2 linked regions of the Xenopus tropicalis genome follow. The protein of the gene in region 1 purifies or fractionates together with the protein of each later gene. This does not show direct contact. Links are inferred from orthologs where the notes say so. Each region holds a gene or a part of one and is shown on either strand. Other genes may lie near its edges.

Evidence for each region. The genes of interacting proteins can lie anywhere in the genome.
Region 2: the proteins of mapk4 (region 1) and fastkd5 purify together in Homo sapiens (affinity purification with mass spectrometry; 3 studies listed by BioGRID and IntAct, with this or other methods). This does not show direct contact. The link is inferred for Xenopus tropicalis from reciprocal best matches to the Homo sapiens genes MAPK4 and FASTKD5.

The regions. Positions count from the first base shown.
Region 1 is NC_030677.2:204,984,523-204,988,457, reverse strand, and holds the start of mapk4 (mitogen-activated protein kinase 4), read left to right. Parts: upstream 1-1,133; 5' UTR 1,134-1,264; intron 1,265-3,935. UniProt on the Homo sapiens protein: Atypical MAPK protein. Phosphorylates microtubule-associated protein 2 (MAP2) and MAPKAPK5.
Region 2 is NC_030677.2:12,511,490-12,515,547, reverse strand, and holds the start of fastkd5 (FAST kinase domain-containing protein 5, mitochondrial), read left to right. Parts: upstream 1-1,254; 5' UTR 1,255-1,343; intron 1,344-1,717; exon of another isoform or gene 1,718-1,750; intron 1,751-2,067; exon of another isoform or gene 2,068-2,153; intron 2,154-2,188; exon of another isoform or gene 2,189-2,239; intron 2,240-2,517; exon of another isoform or gene 2,518-2,547; intron 2,548-3,105; exon of another isoform or gene 3,106-3,160; intron 3,161-3,180; exon of another isoform or gene 3,181-3,228; intron 3,229-4,058. UniProt on the Homo sapiens protein: Plays an important role in the processing of non-canonical mitochondrial mRNA precursors.

The sequences.
Region 1 (3,935 bases):
CTGGGATGGCACATAGGGTGGCAATTGCCCCCCCCAACCCCATTCTCCTCATTTTTAACCCTTCTGGACCCTGAGTGTGCACTCACAAGTCAGGGGATTACAGCAGCATCTACTCAAATCACAGCTTCATGAAAAGCGCCTCATTCCCAAACTTTAGGGGATTTAGTCGGGGCAGTAAGTCCTAGGCAACCTGTCGGCTTGGCCCGTCCACTGCCAACATCCCCCCTACCCCCGTGCGTACCGGGGGTTACAGGGGCCGCTGCACAGTCGGGGCAAGAGTCCGGAACCGGTGGTAGGTGACAGAAGAGGTACCTGCCTGGCGCCCCCCATCATTGCACCCTAGGTAGGTACCTCTTCTGCCTACCCCTAGTTCCGGCCCTGGTAATAGTAATAGGTTACATTATCCGCACTAGTGATGAGCGAATCTGTCCCATTTTGCTTTGCCATAAAATTCGTGAAACGGCAAGAAAACAAATTTGTCGCGTGTTTTTTTTTGTCTCCCCCGCTTTTGATGCCCAATTTTTATGCTTCTGCGACCATTTTTTATGTCCCCGTGTCCAATTTGACGCGTGACAAATTTTTCCACAGGCGAATTTTCACGGAAGCTTCGCAAAACAATTCGCCAATGGCGAAATGCGAAAATTCGCTGCGAATCCATGCCTGCCGAAAAAATTTGCTCATCACTAATCCGCACATAGGATATCCATATAGTCTTTCTTAGGGCGAAGACACACTGAACTACTTAGTAGCAGCTACTTGTCACGGCTACTAAACACCAGCAAATCCCCTGCCATAGACAATACTGAGAATTGCCTCTGCTAAAACACACGTAGAGACAATTATCAGTAAATGGTCAGCATTGTCTGTTTTAGTAGCCGTGACAAGTAGCTGCTACTAGTAGCTCTGTGTGTCTTCATCTTATTGTATGAATTAGCCCATCCTGAGCAGAGACCCCCATCCTGGGGCAGAGCAGCAATGCAGCAAATTGACCCCGATTTTAGGCCATACCAACTACCAAATGGCATCGCTTTCCCGGGACCCATAGAAGCCCATAGCCGGCAGCTGTGAGAGACAGAAGGGCCGGTACCCGCCCAGTGCCCGCTGCCAGCTGCCGCCTCTGATGTCAGGAGTGGGCGCGGCCGGAGGGGAGTTCCCTGGGTGGCAGCGAGCGATCAGTCAGCTGGGGATAAGCCGGCACTGGGAGCCGGGGAGAGTCGGGGACATCTGCCTGCGGCAGGACGCGACACTGCGGGAGTGGAGGCCGGTAAGTCGCCGCTAGGGATGTTCCTGCCATTCCCTGCCCGGAGCCGCAGCCTCAGCACCGCCGGTCCCGTCCGCCTCTCACACAAAGGGATCAGGTGGCTGCCATTCAGCCCGGCTACAGCTTTAGGGGCTCAGCCCCCCACACTGGGTGCTGCATAACGGGCTTTATTCCTCTAATTGGCTCCCATAGAGCTAAATAGCCCTCCCTTCTGTCAGCCCCGACCCTGCGGTTGCACTTGCCCTGCTTCCCCCATTGGCTGTGAGGCTGCTGAGAGCTGCAGTTCAGTCGGACAAAGTGGAACCTTTACCTGCTGGGGAATCTCACAGGGCAGAGACTGAGGTAAAGGGGACGTAATTAAACTTCAGCACTAATGAGGCGGCTAATGAGGGTGCTGGGTGATTGCTTTCTAAATTGTCCGACTTCTTATCCAGATGCCTCCCCGCCAGGGAGTGGGGGCTGTACATACATAGCATGTGGGTTTGTTTATACAGAGGCTGTCAGCCCTAGAGATGCTCCCTCTGGCCCTGGAACAGCCACTGAATGGGGCAGCATTACATTAGGGGTTAACCCTCCTGCTTCTAGGGAGTAGCCAAGGGTAGCAACATCGGGCCTTATTGCATGTCTATTGTCTGAGCTGTTTTAATAAAAGTCAGCCCCCCCCTCTCCCATGTCTGGGAATAGCAGCCGTACACACTGCGGACAGGAGCAGCTCATATTTTATATGGGGAGACTATTAATCAATAGCACCGACCGCAGGAACCCGTAATGTCCAACCACACAATCTATGTACATATATCTGGCGTAATTGGTGTTGAACTACAGCACCCAGCACCTTGTGGCACCCAGAGCCCTGTGGCACCCAGAGCCTTGTGGCACCCAGAGCCCTGTGGCACCCAGAGCCTTGTGGCACCCAGAGCCCTGTGGCACCCAGCACCTTGTGGCACCCAGAGCCCTGTGGCACCCAGAGTCCTGTGGCACCCAGCACCTTGTGGCACCCAGAGCCCTGTGGCACCCAGAGCCCTGTGGCACCAGAGCCCTGTGGCACCCAGCACCTTGTGGCACCCAGAGCCCTGTGGCACCCAGAGCCCTGTGGCACCCAGCACCTTGTGGCACCCAGCACCTTGTGGCACCCAGAGCCCTGTGGCACCCAGAGTCCTGTGGCACCCAGCACCTTGTGGCACCCAGAGCCCTGTGGCACCCAGAGCCCTGTGGCACCCAGAGCCCTGTGGCACCCAGCACCTTGTGGCACCCAGAGCCCTGTGGCACCCAGAGCCCTGTGGCACCCAGCACCTTGTGGCACCCAGCACCTTGTGGCACCCAGAGCCCTGTGGCACCCAGAGCCCTGTTTGGGTATTCGCTTTCCTGCATTGCTGGGCTGAAGGTGCTGAAGAGTTTCTGGGAATTTTAGTTCTACAACTATGATAAAGCCTTTTCTGTGTTAATTACAACTTTATAACCTGGAATGACAGTAATTAGGATAATCACTGACCCTCAGCATCAGATTCTGTGTTTAAACAATTCACATGGGGGTCCCTAGAATTTCATTGGTCGGGCAGTGCCCCTATACAGTACTTATAGAGATAAGAACCTTGGGATATTCCCTCAGAGATATCATGAGACTCAAAGAAAATGTAAAGGAGAAATAAACCCTAAAATATATTCTTTCTATGTGATACAGGAAAGTGCATTGGTTTCTCTTAGGCTTCAGAATGGCTCAGTATTGGGATTATTCACCCCTAAACACTGTATATAATTGGCCAATAGAGTGAGTCTCTGAATTCGGGGGTTCATTTATGAACAGTCGGAAATGTCATTTCGAATTTTATGATGCAGTTAGAATTTTGGTGCATGTCAGGGTTATATCAGCCTTGCAGTCTGCTGAGATTTGGGGTGAGTGCTTATTTGTGCCCTGGGTACCCCTGGAACTATAGGGGGGTGACTGTTACCCCAATGTTTCTATATATCTGTAACCTTGTTATGGGCTAAGGGGGCCCAGTCTGAAGGCCAGTTAGGGGGGGATTTGGGGTAAATGCTTATTTGTGCCCTGGGTACCCCTGGAACTATAGGGGGGTGACTGTTACCCCAATGTTTCTATATATCTGTAACCTTGTTATGGGCTAAGGGGGCCCAGCCTGAAGGCCAGTTAGGGGGGATTTGGGGTGAATGCTTATTTGTGCCCTGGGTACCCCTGGAACTATAGCGGGGTGACTGTTACCCCAATGTTTCTATATATCTGTAACCTTGTTATGGGCTAAGGGGGCCCAGCCTGAAGGCCAGTTAGGGGGGGATTTGGGGTGAGTGCTTATTTGTGCCCTGGGTACCCCTGGAACTGTAGCAGGGTGACTGTTACCCCAATGTTTCTATATATCTGTAACCTTGTTATGGGCTAAGGGGGCCCAGCCTGAAGGCCAGTTAGGGGGGATTTGGGGTGAGTGCTTATTTGTGCCCTGGGTACCCCTGGAACTATAGCAGGGTGACTGTTACCCCAATGTTTCTATATATCTGTAACCTTGTTATGGGCTAAGGGGGCCCAGCCTGAAGGCCAGTTAGGGGGGATTTGGGGTGAGTGCTTATTTGTGCCCTGGTACCCCTGGAACTATAGCAGGGTGACTGTTACCCCAATGTTTCTATATATCTGTAACCTTGTTATGGGCTAAGGGGGCCCAGCCTG
Region 2 (4,058 bases), about 190 Mb from region 1:
TAGTTCCCCTTTAAACAGAAAGAACCTTTGGTCCAGTAATTTTTTTTTCTGCGAAGTGGAGTGCCTTGGTTGAGGGTGGGGGGGCCTTGGTTGAGGGTGTCTAGGTTGAGGTGGGGGGCCTTGGTTGAGGGTGGGGTGTCTAGGTTGAGGGTGGGGGTGCCTTGGTTGAGGGTGGGGGTGTCTAGGTTGAGGGTGGGGGGGCCTTGGTTGAGGGTGGGGGTGCCTTGGTTGAGGGTGGGGGTGCCTTGGTTGAGCGTGGGGGTGCCTTGGTTGAGGGTGGGGGGGCCTTGGTTGAGGTGGGGGGCCTTGGTTGAGGGTGGGGGGCCTTGGTTGAGCGTGGGGGTGCCTTGGTTGAGGGTGGGGGGGCCTTGGTTGAGGGTGGGGGTGCCTTGGTTGAGGGTGGGGGTGCCTTGGTTGAGGGTGGGGGTGCCTAGGTTGAGGGTGGGGGTGCCTTGGTTGAGGGTGGGGGTGCCTTGGTTGAGGGTGGGGGGGCCTAACAAACTGGCACCCCCAATGAATTCAATGTTCCTTCTCCATAGGAAAGAACTGAAACACTCAAACCATCCCAAGAAACAGAGAAAGCTTCCAACATGATTGGGGGTGTGGTCAAGGTGGAATAGGGCGTGGCAAAGAGGCCAGTCCTACTAAAGTTCGCCCTATGGACAGGCACATTGCTAGGGATCTGTTAGCACTCCGGTTAATGGAAGCACAACCCCTCTCTGAACTGAACTGCTTTGACTTGGCACTGCCATTATTTCTCCTACAGACTCTCTATCACTAAAGCAGTTGGTACAGTCCAGCAGTACATTGTGCCTGAGCAGCAGCGCCACCTAGCAGCCTGAGATACACATTGCAGCTTCACTGGCAGCAAAATGAAAGTCTCTTCTTTCCTGGAGAATAACAAGGCCGCCTCCGTGTTTCTGATGACCCCTCCCATTCCCCGCCCACTTTATCCGTCACTGTAAAAAGTCTAAAATAACAAAAAAAAACACAAATACAAGAGTATTGTAGAAATGATATGTAAAAAGTCTATTAACCCACACGCATTTTTCTCTAATATAAACCCGCTCTGAATATTTGCAACCTCTTCGCCCATTGGATTCTAAAGCGCCCACCCACTTGACGTTAGGTTTCAGTTTTACCTCTTCCTGCGGAAAGCGCATGCGCGGACGTATCCTGAGGTGGCGTCATTCACGACGTCATATCTCGGCGCTGTCAGGTGACGGCTTGCTGGTGCGACTGTACGGGCGGAGAGCAGGGAGACGGTGCGCAGCTCATGCCCTTGTCCTGCGGTTCCTTCATGTCGGCTTGTGGGCTCCCACCTCCATAGGCTCCCTACCTGGGTAAGTCTCCCACCTCCATAGGCTCCCTACCTGGGTAAGTCTCCCACCTCCATAGGCTCCCTACCTGGGTAAGTCTCCCACCTCCATAGGCTCCCTACCTGGGTAAGTCTCCCACCTCCATAGGCTCCCTACCTGGGTAAGTCTCCCACCTCCATAGGCTCCCTACCTGGGTAAGTCTCCCACCTCCATAGGCTCCCTACCTGGGTAAGTCTCCCACCTCCATAGGCTCCCTACCTGGGTAAGTCTCCCACCTCCATAGGCTCCCTACCTGGGTAAGTCTCCCACCTCCATAGGCTCCCTACCTGGGTAAGTCTCCCACCTCCATAGGCTCCCTACCTGGGTAAGTCTCCCACCTCCATAGGCTCCCTACCTGGGTAGTCTCCCACCTCCATAGGCTCCCTACCTGGGGTAAGTCTCCCACCTCCATAGGCTCCCTACTGGGTAAGTCTCCCACCTCCATAGGCCTCCCTACCTGGGTAAGTCTCCCACCTCCATAGGCTCCCTACCTGGGTAAGTCTCCCACCTCCATAGGCTCCCTACTGGGTAAGTCTCCCACCTCCATAGGCTCCCTACCTGGGTAAGTCTCCCACCTCCATAGGCTCCCACCTGGTAAGTCTCCACCCATAGGCTCCCCTACCTGGGTAAGTCTCCCACCTCCATAGGCTCCCTACCTGGGTAAAGTCTCCCACATCCATAGGGCTCCCTACCTGGGTAAGTCCCCCCACCTCCATAGGCTCCCTACCTGGGTAAGTCTCCCACCTCCATAGGCTCCCTACCTGGGTAAGTCTCCCACCTCCATAGGCTCCCTACCTGGGTAAGTCCCCCACCTCCATAGGCTCCCCTACCTGGGTAAGTCTCCCACCTCCATAGGCTCCCTACCTGGGTAAGTCTCCCACCTCCATAGGCTCCCCCTCCATAGGCTCCCTACCTGGGTAAGTCTCCCACCTCCATAGGCTCCCTACCTGGGTAAGTCTCCCACATCCATAGGCTCCCTACCTGGGTAAGTCTCCACATCCATAGGCCTCCCTACCTGGGTAAGTCTCCCACATCCATAGGCTCCCTACCTGGGTAAGTCTCCCACATCCATAGGCTCCCTACCTGGGTAAGTCTCCCACATCCATAGGCTCCCTACCTGGGTAAGTCTCCCACATCCATAGGCTCCCTACCTGGGTAAGTCTCCCACATCCATAGGCTCCCTACCCGGGTAAGTCTCCCACATCCATAGGCTCCCTACCTGGGTAAGTCTCCCACCTCCATAGGCTCCCTACCTGGGTAAGTCTCCCACCTCCATAGGCTCCCTACCTGGGTAAGTCTCCCACATCCATAGGCTCCCTACCTGGGTAAGTCTCCCACCTCCATAGGCTCCCTAACCTGGGTAAGGCTCCCACCTCCATAGGCTCCCTACCTGGGTAAGTCTCCCACCTCCATAGGCTCCCTACCTGGGTAAGGCTCCCACCTCCATAGGCTCCCTACCTGGGTAAGTCTCCCACCTCCATAGGCTCCCTACCTGGGTAAGTCTCCCACCTCCATAGGCTCCCTACCTGGGTAAGGCTCCCACCTCCATAGGCTCCCTACCTGGGTAAGTCCCCCACCTCCATAGGCTCCCTACCTGGGTAAGGCTCCCACCTCCATAGGCTCCCTACCTGGGTAAGGCTCCCACCTCCATAGGCTCCCTACCTGGGTAAGTCCCCCACCTCCATGGGCTCCCTACCTGGGTAAGGCTCCCACCTCCATAGGCTCCCTACCTGGGTAAGTCCCCCACCTCCATAGGCTCCCTACCTGGGTAAGGCTCCCACATCCATAGGCTCCCTACCTGGGTAAGTCCCCCACCTCCATAGGCTCCCTACCTGGGTAAGGCTCCCACCTCCATAGGCTCCCTACCTGGGTAAGTCTCCCACATACAGCTGCCTGCTGAGGATTGTGGGAGTTGAAGACTGGCTATTGCGTTGCTAACAGCCTAACTGAGGGGAACACTGGGCTGCCGGCCATTTCTGATGGACCGTTGGATAAAATAGGGCACCGAGATGGGGAACCCGACAGTGTTGCAAATTGGCAAACATACCCTAGTGTGGCCGGCTGGTAGCTTCTATTCCCTGGGGTGGCTGCTAGGGGGGGCTTCTATTCCCTGGGGTGGCTGCTAGGGGGGGCTTCTATTCCCTGGGGTGGCTGCTAGGGGGGGCTTCTATTCCCTGGGGTGGCTGCTAGGGGGGGCTTCTATTCCCTGGGGTGGCTGCTAGGGGAGGGGGGCTTCCTATTCCCTGGGGTGGCTGCTAGGGGGGGGGGCTTCTATTCCCTGGGGTGGCTGCTAGGGGGGGGGCTTCTATTCCCTGGGGTGGCTGCTAGGGGGGGGCTTCTATTCCCTAGGGGGGGGGCTTCTATTCCCTGGGGTGGCTGCTAGGGGGGGGTGGCTGCTAGGGGGGGGCTTATATTCCCTGGGGTGGCTGCTAGGGGGGGCTTATATTCCCTGGGGTGGCTGCTAGGGGGGGGCTTCTATTCCCTGGGGTGGCTGCTAGGGGGGGCTTCTATTCCCTGGGGTGGCTGCTAGGGGGGGCTTCTATTCCCTGGGGTGGCTGCTAGGGGGGGGGCTTATATTCCCTGGGGTGGCTGCTAGGGGGGCTTCTATCCCTGGGGTGGCTGCTAGGTGGGGGGGGGCTTCTATTCCCTGGGGTGGCTGCTAGGGGGGGCTTCTATTCGCTGGGGTGGCTCCTAGGGGGG